Alligator mississippiensis: one gene and its partners. Each later gene encodes a partner of the first gene's protein in a complex. Links are inferred from orthologs where the notes say so. Each region holds a gene or a part of one and is shown in the gene's direction. Other genes may lie near its edges. The genes, in order: STRIP1, PDCD10 and STRN3.

Region 1 (3,745 bases):
GGATGCCCCCGAGTTTTGCTTGCCCTCGGCCATATGGCCGCAAGAGCAAGCTAGGGAGGAGTCCCCTATTTCCATAAAGTTGGCGTGTATCTGAGATCTTCCCACTGGAAGTGAAAGTGGGAGGCCAGTGGGAAAGCCACTTCATAGTCATGGTGTTTCCCCTGCTGAGACAGGTCCTTAATGCTACCAGAGCCCCTCGCGAATACAAGAATACAGACCTGTTGGTTCAGAAATGATACCTTTTATTAGCCCAACTAAGAAACCGCAAAAAAAATTCTCTTTTTTCTGCAAGTGTTCGGGCTCAAAGGCCTGTCCCCATCTTGAATTTGCCCAGAGCCTGATGAGATGTTTGCATTTCTTTTTGTCTCAGACCATTACGACTACCAAATACGTTCCTGAACCATTAATACAGGGGCTTTTTTTTTCCCCCTGGTGGAAGCAATTGCAGGGGCTAGAGGTACCCTGGGGAAGCTGTTTGGAGGCTTTGGCACTAGCTGGGGCCTGGGGACAAAAGGGGTGCTTTCCTCTGCCACTTGTTTCCTGTTCAGCCTTGGGTGTATCACTTCCTCCACTTGTGCCTCGTTTTCCCCGGCGTTAATGACGGTGCTTTGGCAGCTGGGACCAGGCCATGACGCCTTCAGGCCTCAACTGGGCTCCGGGATGAGTTTAAATCGCTTTCTGTGCTCTAGCTTGAGATGGCCACACCTAATATGGCCGCCCGGGCGGGGAAGAAGCTCCTTGATGGCCACACCCAGCATGGCCGCGCAGGGCGGGGCCCATCAGCGGCGGTCACATCCAGCATGGCCGCTGGGGGGGCGGAGCTATGTTCCATTGGTAGCCACACCCGGCATGGTGGCGGGGGGCGGGGCTTGGCGAGGCATCGAGCATGGCGGCGGCTCCTCGGCTCTTCCTGCAGTTCTCGCGAGAGCAGCCGGTGAGAGCTCGCGAGATGTGGGCTCGGAGTGGGGGGCGGGGGTGAGGCGGTGCCAAGATGGAGCCTGGCGGCTTCGTGGGGCCGGGGCCGCTGGCGGCCAACAACAAGCCGCGCAGCGGCCCGGCACCGGCACCGGGGCCGGGGCCGGGGCCTGGTCCGGGTCCAGGCCCAGGTCCAGGTCCAGGCCCAGGCCCAGCGCAGGGCCCGGGCCTGGCAGGCGGGAAGGGCCGCGAGTTCAACCGCAACCAGCGCAAGGACTCGGAGGTCAGCGGAGGGGTTGGGGTCGGGGCTAGACGGGCATGGAGGGGGTTGTGCCCCCACGTCTCGCGTGTGTTGACACCCCCTACGGTGCCCGTCCCTGTGGCAGGCAGGGGGTTGGTCGGGTGGGGCCCCGATGGGTGGTGCAGGGGGCCCGGCCGGGGCTGGACGCCATGTCCCCTCCCAGCCCCGCAGGCAGGTCGTTTCCGAGTCGCATCTGCTGTGCTGCTTGGGACACGGATCACCGTCTTTCAAAGAAGAAAATGCCGCCTCCTTCCCAGGAGCTGATGGAGACGGAGGAGCTCCCAGCGGGGGTGGGGGGGGGGGTTGTGACGGGTCACAAAGGCTCTCAAAGCCGGAGGCTTGCCTTAGGGCCGGCCGAAGAGCCTCTTCTCAGGAGATTAAGGCTGTGTCTTGAGGAAGTCCCGAGGAAGAGCTTTCTCTTTCCCCTTGGAAAGGCGCGGGATGATCCTTTCTTCTTGTGACAGGTGGTTTAAAGCAACTCCGGCGTCTCGCTGGCTTGTTATTCTCCCCCCCTGCACTCGGGCACTTTCCCCGTGTTCTTGGACTTCTTGTTTTTGTCTGTTTCTTACTTGGCGTGGAGGGCCCTCCTGCACGTGACATCCCAGCGATGCATTTCTGCAGGGGTTCGTGCTGTCCGACATCAATGCGGTCTCTGAGGCCCCTGTGGTCAAGACCTTTAATGCTAGGATTAAACGAGAGGTTCTGTCTGTTTTACACAGTGATTTTCACTTGAGGAGATCCCCACCCCCCAAGTTGTCTTGAGGCCAGTTGTGTGTAGAGATCACGTATGGCTGCGCGCAGCAGCGCAGAGCAAGGTTACACAAGAGAGCGATCAGTATTACATCAGCCCAGAAGACGGGGGATACACAGCAGGTTGCCTCAGAAACATTTAAGATCTGCTGATAAATGCCGGGTGTTCGGCTGAAGATGCAGCATGAGCCTGCAGCAGGGGGTTAACTTTTATTGTTCTGACTGATTTACTGATGCTTTTTAATGAAACGTGCTTTGTTTAAAAGTGAATTTTCCTTCTGTCACCAGGGCTATTCCGAATCCCCAGACTTGGAGTTTGAATATGCAGATACCGATAAATGGGCTGCGGAGTTATCTGGTAAGGGAATTTAATCCCTCTTGATCTCTAAAGAAAAGTTGTATTTTGCTATGCACTCATCTTTAGCTGCATCTTGGTGTTGTGTATAGTAAAGCTAATGCTATTTTGAACCATAGTTTTTGCCATATGCTGTGTTTTATTTGTCTTGAGTCGGACAACAGAAACTGTTGGTTCCGTTTGAGTGCGTCTTTTTCTTTCTTTTTAATTGGGTTTTTGGTTGTCATCCTAACAGTTGCTTTGCTGTTTGGATTACAAGTACTTCTAGGCAAAAATATCTTATCTCTTAATTTAAAGACATCTTTAGTTTGGCAATAATAGTTTTAACCATCAAAAGTTTTCATGTTAAATTTCACTTGCATAATGCCCTGGGTTTTTTTATTGTATTAAACTCTTGATTATGTGAAATGTGAGTGATGGGGACCTTAAAAAAAAAAATTAAAAAAAAAAAAAAGAAAAGAAAAAAACACATCTGATTGTCAGGAGCTTTAGGATTGAGTTCTGTTCTGTGCCTGTTTGTTACGTGACTACCATAGGCAGTCTTTGAGAAGTACTTTTTGGGGGGGATGCTGAAAGAAAAGTGACAACAACCAGACACGGTTTATGGTATGTTGGCAGAACTGTACAGCTACACTGAAGGCCCAGAATTCCAGCTGAACCGAAAGTGCTTTGAGGAAGACTTTAGGGTCCATGGTAAGATAAGTTTATTCTTCCCTTCTTGTCCCCTGTTCATAGGTTTTAGGGTCACCTGTAGAACATTCATGAGGAGATGCAAGTACTGATGTGTTATCCCTGTGTCAGGGCAGGAACTGACTACAAACATCCCTTACTTGGTTTACAACTTATAGTATTTGCTGGCAAATATTGTCTCTATCCAAGGGACACCTTGCTAATGTACCTCACCGATGAGCACATTGTTTCTGGCTCATTCAGTAATTTATCTCTCTAAATGTGGTGGACAGTTAGTGCCAATTGTGGCTGTGGAAGGCACTATGAACAATCAACTTATTTTACCTATGCCTTTTGGTCTCAAACTGGGATACTTGTATCTCATAGGGCATGTGGCAAACTCCTAGAGGGCATGTGAAGGGAGGAATGGGCAAGCAGAGAAAGGAAAAGGGAAATATAAATAGGGAAAAAGGAAGAACAATTCTGCAGTTTCTCTTAAGTTGTTGGATAGCTGATGTTAAGGGCAGCAGTAATGACCTAGTATTAACTTTTATTATCCATGCTATGGTACAAGACCCAGACAGTTTGGGAAGCCTGACCTACTGTTGACCAGCTATTAGACTCTACTGATTTCTGGTTGTAGCTGATGTGTATTTCAAAGGATAAGTCTCATTAATCTGATCTTGCAGTAGCTGGCATTAGTGAGTCTCCTCAGTGTGACCTCTAGCAGATCAGATATGTTTATATTCTGTTCC
Region 2 (3,745 bases), on another chromosome or scaffold:
CGGGCGCGTTGCTCAGCGCAGGGGCGAGGAATAAGCTGCGTTGGACCCAGAGGCAGGGGCTTGTTTCTCCCCCCGGGCTCGGGCAGGGGGAGGTGGGTGTGGATCTCCACTGCTCCAGGAGAGCCCGAGGGGCACTTTTGAATAACGCCTTCAGGCTAAAGCTTTGCAAGGGTGGGGGGGGAAAGGTGCCAAAATAAATAAATAAATACATACATACTTAATTAGGGCAAACAACCCCCAAATTGGAGAAGCGCTACAAATTAATAATAATAATAATAATAATAATAATGAGCATCGCGGAACGGCGTGGGACACATGCACTCCCTCACTCACTCACCCGGAGCGGAGCGGAGAGGCTGGGCTGGGCTGCGCGCGGCTCCGCGGCGGCTCGGCTCTGGTGGCTCGCTGCGCGCTGGCCGCGACTCGCGGACCGCCTTAGGGGCTGATTCGACTGCGTCCGCCAACGCCTGCCTTGCCTCACGCCTCCCCAGCCCCTCTCGGGGCCACGCCCCCTTCTCAGGGCCCTCGCGCCCATTGGTCGCTCCTTCTCCGCCTTCTCTTCCAGCCCCGCCCCTTTCCTCCTCCTCCTTCCCCCGCCCTGCCGCGCGCGCGGCATGATGGGATATGTAGTCCCGTGGCGCGTCACTACAGTTCCCAGGAGCCCGCGCGGTACCCGGCGAGTTCCGGGCAACGCCTGGTGTGTGGTAACCGCGGCCGCCGCTTCCTACTCGGCAGGCACTTCCGGCGCGGCGGCGGGGCCCGCGCTACAGCTGGGAAGGCTCGGAGGGGCGGGGGGAGGTAAGGTACGGGACGTGGGGGCGCGCCGGTGCTTTGTCCCCCGCCCTCTCCTCTCTTTTCCCCGGGCCCGCTGGGGTCGCTGCGGTGTTTGCGTAGGGCCTGGCGGCTCCGCCGAGGTTACGCTGCTCTTGGGGCGTAAAACTCCTTGGAGAATCGGGGCCCGGTTGAAGGGTGGGGGCGGGGCGGGTGCTGCGGAGGTGCCCGCGCCCGTCCCCGTTCCCGTCCCGCTCACACTGGGCCCGGGTTCCCTCAGCGGGAGGGGTGTGGGGGAAGGGGAAAGCGAAAACCCCTCCTTTGTTGGTGCGGCACCTCCCGCAGGCCGGGCCCGGAGCGAGGGCGGCGGACCTGCCCTTCCGGTGTCAGCCGGGCTGGGGCGCCCCCGGGTGCAGCTCCTTGTGCGGGCTGACTGAGCCCCGTCCTCCCGCAGAGAGGTGCCGAGCCCCGGGGTCGCTGCCGGGAGGCTCCGCTCACATACCAGCCCCAGCTTGGGGTGCAGGAGGGGCCCGGAGTGAATCTCAAGAGGCCTGAGGAGGCCGCCGACCAAAATAGACTTGGCAGAGAAACTGGGGGGCGCTGTCACGAGGGGGTTTGCCTGGCAAGCAGTCTAGTTGCTGGGGTTGTGATCCTGGCTACTTCACGGGTAGGCAGCTCTTCAATTTGTCTGATGTAAGAAATCGGAGCCCAGCCCCAGAGGGCAGGTTCTGGCGTCTTGCATCCTCGCTAGGCGTAGTAATGAGGTAGGGTGGAAAAGGGCTGAATCCCTGACTGCGTGTAGGGTGAGGGGTTTCTGACTCGGGAGGAGTGACTTGCAAAACTCATGAGGTTCAAAATGGATTCGGATTTAGAAAAGTGGGTGGCTTGAGCGTTCTCCCAAGTGGCTTTTTTTCCCCTGTGACCTCTTAGTTTAGCTTCTGAAGTAGTGGCACCCAGCCATATACAAAATAACTAAATGTATGTGCATGGACAGTCATGTTTTTATAGGAGTAGAGTTGCTTGTTTTCATCTTTCTATATGAATATACCATTTCACAGGCTGTGCAAGTAGCAGTGTAGTTAAGAAAAGCTTTTGGGAAAGCTAAACTTGAATCAGTAATTTTTTTGCTACTTTTTTTTTTTTTTTAAGCTACTTTCAATGTTAAGTAAGGGAAAGTGTAATCCATACAACCAAGACCATGTGGCTTTTTTATTTTTTCCCTTAACCTCTACCTGTCTAGACTGGCCAAGTTCATTATGTTTTTGCAGTAGTAGTAAATTCCTCTAATGTTAACTTAAGTGGGTGGTCTGGTGTTTTTTTTTTTTTAATGCTAAACAAAAATCTAATCAGCCTGATCATAGTGATTTGTATCCCTTCCTTTTTCTTATATGATTCATTGTTGACAAATGGTTTGAAGGGTGTTTGAAGTCATCTTGTAGATCAGGGGTGGCCAAGCTGTGGCTGAGGGAGCCTCTGTATGGCATGCAGCAGATCGGGGAGGGAGCAGGGAACATTGTGATAGGGCGGGGAGCAGGAAGCACTGTAGCAGATCAGGCAGGGGAAGGAGGTTGGAGTGGCACTTATGGTGGGTGTGGGGCTTTCCTTGTGGCATGCCTGCTAAAGTTTGGTTCCCACTATTGTACACTAGTGGAAAAAGACCACTATCATTATGGGAAGGTCAATGAGTATTGTCAGTTGCCATGGCAGTCAGAAGAATGCAAAATTATGTTTTGGGTGGAATCGTATTTGAACTCCAGCTTCTAGGTTCGTAACACCAAGTTCTTGCATCTGATCATAACTCCCTTTAGAGGGGCACGTGAAAGGGTGATGTTTTCTTCTGTGCGTTTCCTCGAATTTTTGCTTATAGTTTCAGTAACCACAGGTAGAACTTGCGTTATCCACCCCAAGTATCTAATCTAGTTCAAGTATCCATCTGGATGAAGTACCTTGGAGCAAGGTGAGAGCAGGAAGTCTTCTGCAGGCCCTCCAGAGTGCTGAGGAAGGTCATTGGACGAAGACAAGAAATTATATTTAGGTACCACTTTGCACTTGTCCCTGGGACCTGAAAGACTCAAGGTGGCTGTTTTCTTAATTGGTGAGACAAAGTCTCTTAAGTGGTAGCAAAGGAGCAGATACCACGTTTTATCTGTTTTAGCAGCAGGATTTTTATTTTATGCATACCTTGTATCTTTCCCCAGTGGTGAAATGGCTTTTGAACTAAAATTGATTTAAAAAAAAGAAAATAAACAAAAATCTAAGGTATGTGGTGGTAGGTGGAATATTAGTACATTTTGTCCTAAAAACAAACGGGTATAGGTGGGCCATAAGTTGCAGTGCATTACTCAAATGTAGCACAGGTGCCTGAGTTAGTTTTCCATAAGGAACAAGGGCCTAATAGTGTAATGTAGCGCTTCCCGAACTCTGACACATTGCGCACCACCAATTTAAAACAATACAACCTTAAGTACCAGCAATTTTTTGTCATGTAAAGTAATTATAATAAATCTATTAACACGTACCGCTGACAAGTTGTCTGCGTTATAATCTTACATTACGTTGTGAGTTTTATATAGAAGTGGCATATGATGAAAGCTAACCACATTTTGCTGTTTTTCATAGTCACAAACGTTGCCACGTATACAAGTGACTGTCAACTGCTTTCTGTTCAGAAACTTGTATTAGTCTGGAGGTGGCCTGCATCTGTTAAATTCTAAGTTGTCTACCTCCATGAACGCAAAATGGGATCCTACATAATGAATACTAATTTTTCCTGGTGGAGTTTAGGCCTCATCCTTACCACTGCGCTAGAGATCTTGGAGTTTTTTTTTCAATACAGCCTCCTTTCAGGGAAAGTAGGGAATATTACATTGTTAGATTATCAGCACCTCCTTTAGTGATAGTGGTGGCTTCTCTGAGACAACTGTTATGGAGCTTCTGCTCAGAAACCAGTTCTTTATTGTTGTAAATCTGGTAA
Region 3 (3,745 bases), on another chromosome or scaffold:
TAAAAACCATGTATGGTACATGAATTTGTCCATGCTTGAGCAACTGATACAATTTCTGATTCACCTAGTAAAAGAACCTGTTTAAGAAACTGTTATTAAAGATATGTTTGTGGGAAAGATGAAACCACACCCTCTTTCATTTAATTATGGGTGACAATTTTTTTCAAGCAGGAGGTGATAGCTGAAATTAATTTGTCTTTATATGCCTGTCATTACTGCTGAAATTGAGGGCAATGAATCTGTGACAGTCTGACCTGATTTAGACTGAAGATAGCATACATCTCATAAGTAATAAGGAAGAAAACTGGAATTTGCTACCAGTTTCGCAGGGAAACCAATCAAAGCATGGTGATAAATATTTGCAAGACTTTCTCCCTGGGGAAAGGACCCCGGATTAAGGAAAGATTACAAAATAATGAAGGAGAGGTTTTTAAATTACTTCTTGGGGGAAAAAAAGAATAGTCCTTTGTTAATAAGGGCAATACTTAAAAAAAAAAATGTTTTTCCATGTCCTTTTTTTGTCCTGGCAGATCTACAACCAGCATTGGAGTTGCGTGGTGCTTTGATTTCTCTGGCAAGTCAGTCATTTGCTTGAAAAACTGCCCACATTTTTCAAAACGAAATACAAATAAAAAATATAACCTGCCATGATCACACATGAAAAATTTGTAATCGAGCTAATCTTTATAACTAATAAAGAGATCTTCCATCTTTATTTTATAAAAAGATATATGAATCTATCTATAGATCTTGATGACAGATAACACAATCTCTTTATAGAAAACTTGACTCGTGGACAGAGGTATATTAGACCAACAAGATTTTTGCCAGAAAAAATTCTTTAGATAACTTGATGTCTTTTATCTATGTTCCTGTACAGGTACAGACGTATACCCCCCAAATCGCGGCGCAGGTGGGTACACGAGGCAGGTTTAGACGCGCACACTCGGGGCTGCTCTGGTTCAGAAAGAAACGACGCGGGACTGGCCGTTAGGCACCGCTCACACGTGGGGCCTTTCCCAGCCCCCGCACGCAGCCGGGGAAGCGCAGCGCTGGGGCGGCCCCAGCGGAAGCATCCGAGGAATGCGGCTGCCGGGGGGGGGAGGGGCGGCCGCTCCGCCCCCGCACGCCAGGCCCCTGCCCTAGAGACCACGGCCAGCGGCCCGCGCCCCCACCGGGCCGCTCAGCTGCGCATGCGCAGTCCGGCGCGCGCGGAGGGGGTGGTTTCCCGGCGTGCCCCGCGCGCCCGTCCCCCCCCCCCCCCTTCCGCAGTGGGCGGCTAGTCAGGCCGAGGGCTCGCGGCTGTAATGGCGGCCGGCGGCAGCGGCGGCTCGGCGCGGCTCTGACACTCGCACCCCGCTCGGCGCCGCCTCCCCCTGCTGCCCCAGCCCGGCCCGGCCCACCCCGCCCCCGCCCGCAGCGGCCGCCCCCCACCAGCCAGCCCCGCCCCGCCCCGCCCCGCCCGCCGGACCCGAAGGAGGAGGAGGCTCCCCGCAGACAATGGACGAGCACCCCGGCGCCGGCGGCGGGATGGCGGCCGTTCCGAGGCCGCAGCCGCCGCCGCAGCAGCCGCCCGCGGGCAGCGCGAGCCTGGCGGCCGGCGGGGGCTGTGCCGGGGGAGGGCAGGCGGGCGCGGCGCCGGCGCCGGCGGGGCAGGAGGCGGCGGGCGGCGCAGAGCTGTCGCGGCCGCAGCACTACACCATCCCCGGCATCCTGCACTACATCCAGCACGAGTGGGCGCGCTTCGAGATGGAGCGCGCGCACTGGGAGGTGGAGCGGGCCGAGCTGCAGGTACGCGGGGAGAGGCGCGGCGCGGTGCGGTACCGTACCTGGTGGCGCGTCCGGCCCGGCTCCTCACGGCCTGCGCGGGGCTGCTGTGCCCGGGACAGCCATTTTGGTTGCTAGCATGGCGCCCGCCTGGGCTGCCGGCTCGCAGCCCGCGCCCCGCCTGCAGGCCCGGGCAGCGCCCCCGCCTCCCGCGCCCTGACAGCTGCGGGCCTCGCCCCGAGCACAATGACGCGGGGGCTCTGGGGGCCGCGGCAGGGAGACTTCCCCTCCTTCCGCAAGGAAGGGGGAGTCCCCGGGACGGCGGCTGCCCCCGGGCGGGGGCGAGGCGAGGGGGCTTTCACCCCCCGGGGTCGCCTCCGGCCCGTTGTCAGCAGCTGGCCCATGGCACCGGGCCTTGTGAAGCCCCCGAGTCTGGTTCCAGCAGAGGGAGGCGGTTTCTCATCTTTCCTTGGAGTGAGGGGAAGGAATTACCTTCCTCATGACTTGGGCATGTGGAAATAGCGCTGCTGTTTGCTGTCCGAGATCCCAGTCTGGTCCTGGAGGGGGTGGGCAGATTTGGACTCCCTTTTATAAGTGCATAGAAAAGCATTTTAGTTATGGGGAAAATATGGAGAGAGCAGCGTGTCCCAGTGAAATAGTTTTCTCTTTGTAGTGAAACCGGCTTAAGGGATCTGCTGTGTATAATTGTACCTGGATGTATTTATGGCTTGCAGCAGTAGGTCAGAAATTTGCTGTTTTAAGAAAAACCCAACCCCACCCCCTTCCAATTAGAGCATATTGCAACACTGTTTGATTGTGATTTATAAAGCATTTAAATTTCAAAGCAGCAGCTCCTGTCACCAGATTTCTCAGCTCTAGTATAATGGGTGCATCATGTACTTAGTACTCTTGATTCAGTATCACTGGAGTAATAATAAAAACAGCACCCCACTGCCCAGTTATAACAAAGACTGTAAGTGAAGTAAATTTTGGGACCCAGTTGCTTCTGGAGCTAGTTTGGTCAGCGTTAACTCAGTTCTTGAAGTAGGACTAACTTGGGACAGTGGCAGGGCACTTAACTGTGCGTCTTGTTTCCTGTGTTTCAGCAGTGCTAATACTGTATTTCAATACAATAACTTACTGCAAACATGATCAGACTGAAAACTTGTGGCTATTGACTCTTATGATTGACTTCTAGAGCTTGGTTGGTTTGTGTTACAGAAATTACATATATTTTGTTGAAGGGGGGGGTTATATTTATAAACCACTATTTTAACATTATAGTGGGGCTCATGTCATAATATATGGTAAAGATCCAGTTTTTGCTGTAAATAGCAACAGTTTCTCTTTTTTTGGTCCCTAATTGTGCAGACCCTTTTGACCTTTCAGGCTTATGAGGTTACTCACCTACATAAAATTAAGCCACCCGCAATAGTCCTTGAAAGATTGAGGTCTTGTATTTAATACTGACACATGAATATTAGGTTCTTAGCCACTCTTGATTGTGTGGTTCCCTTCTTCTGACATTTCAGTTTATTCTACAGACACTTTTTCAGTTATTACAGATTCTTTCTGATTTCAATTAACTCGCTATCCATGTTTCTTTGAAAATGACACTTCGTAGAAATAAATGAAAAACAAGTACTGTTGTGAGATCAGAGCATCTTACTGACCTGTGTAGGGGAGTCAATTTATTGCTGTCATCTTTTCTTTCTAAGAATGCAGGCATTTTCTTACTCCCAGAATGAAACTAATGAGTTCTTTTCATTTTCCTCTGTACAAATAAAAGTGCATGGATGGGGGATGCTTTGCAAATGACAGAGAATGTGGAGATATACTGGTAAATGGAGAGGTGGCTACCTGTAATAACCCACTCCTTTTTGTTACTATACTATATATTTATCTGGCCTATTTGATCTGATGGACACTGGAATGAAAGATTTAATTAAAAAAAAATTGTTTCCAGTGCTTACTTATG

Evidence for each region.
Region 2: STRIP1 (region 1) and PDCD10 share a complex: the UniProt entries of both Homo sapiens proteins name them as parts of the core of STRIPAK complex. The link is inferred for Alligator mississippiensis from reciprocal best matches to the Homo sapiens genes STRIP1 and PDCD10.
Region 3: the proteins of STRIP1 (region 1) and STRN3 are in contact, whole or in part, in a cryo-EM structure (PDB 7K36), measured with the Homo sapiens proteins. The link is inferred for Alligator mississippiensis from reciprocal best matches to the Homo sapiens genes STRIP1 and STRN3. Residues at the interface, in NP_149079.2 of Homo sapiens: Arg441, Ile445, Tyr447, Leu449, Thr455, Val456, Val457, Gly458, Leu459, Arg491, Ser492, Pro493, Leu494, Ser495, Phe792, Leu793, Pro794, Val795, Asn797, Cys798, Leu799, Val802; in NP_001077362.1 of Homo sapiens: Thr64, Pro66, Gly67, Leu69, His70, Tyr71, Gln73, His74, Val88, Glu89, Ala91, Glu92, Ala95, Arg96, Phe99, Leu100, Glu103, Gly106, Gln107, Leu110, Asp113, Leu114.

What each region holds. Positions count from the first base shown.
Region 1 is NC_081837.1:34,620,897-34,624,641, forward strand, and holds the start of STRIP1 (striatin-interacting protein 1), read left to right. Parts: upstream 1-957; 5' UTR 958-991; coding exon 992-1,198; intron 1,199-2,254; coding exon 2,255-2,324; intron 2,325-2,939; coding exon 2,940-3,014; intron 3,015-3,745. UniProt on the Homo sapiens protein: Plays a role in the regulation of cell morphology and cytoskeletal organization. Required in the cortical actin filament dynamics and cell shape. Part of the striatin-interacting phosphatase and kinase (STRIPAK) complexes.
Region 2 is NC_081830.1:73,258,403-73,262,147, reverse strand, and holds the start of PDCD10 (programmed cell death protein 10), read left to right. Parts: upstream 1-707; 5' UTR 708-798; exon of another isoform or gene 799-803; intron 804-3,745. UniProt on the Homo sapiens protein: Promotes cell proliferation. Modulates apoptotic pathways. Increases mitogen-activated protein kinase activity and STK26 activity. Important for cell migration, and for normal structure and assembly of the Golgi complex.
Region 3 is NC_081825.1:253,307,156-253,310,900, reverse strand, and holds the start of STRN3 (striatin-3), read left to right. Parts: upstream 1-1,325; 5' UTR 1,326-1,500; coding exon 1,501-1,791; intron 1,792-1,829; exon of another isoform or gene 1,830-1,951; intron 1,952-3,745. UniProt on the Homo sapiens protein: Calmodulin-binding scaffolding protein which is the center of the striatin-interacting phosphatase and kinase (STRIPAK) complexes.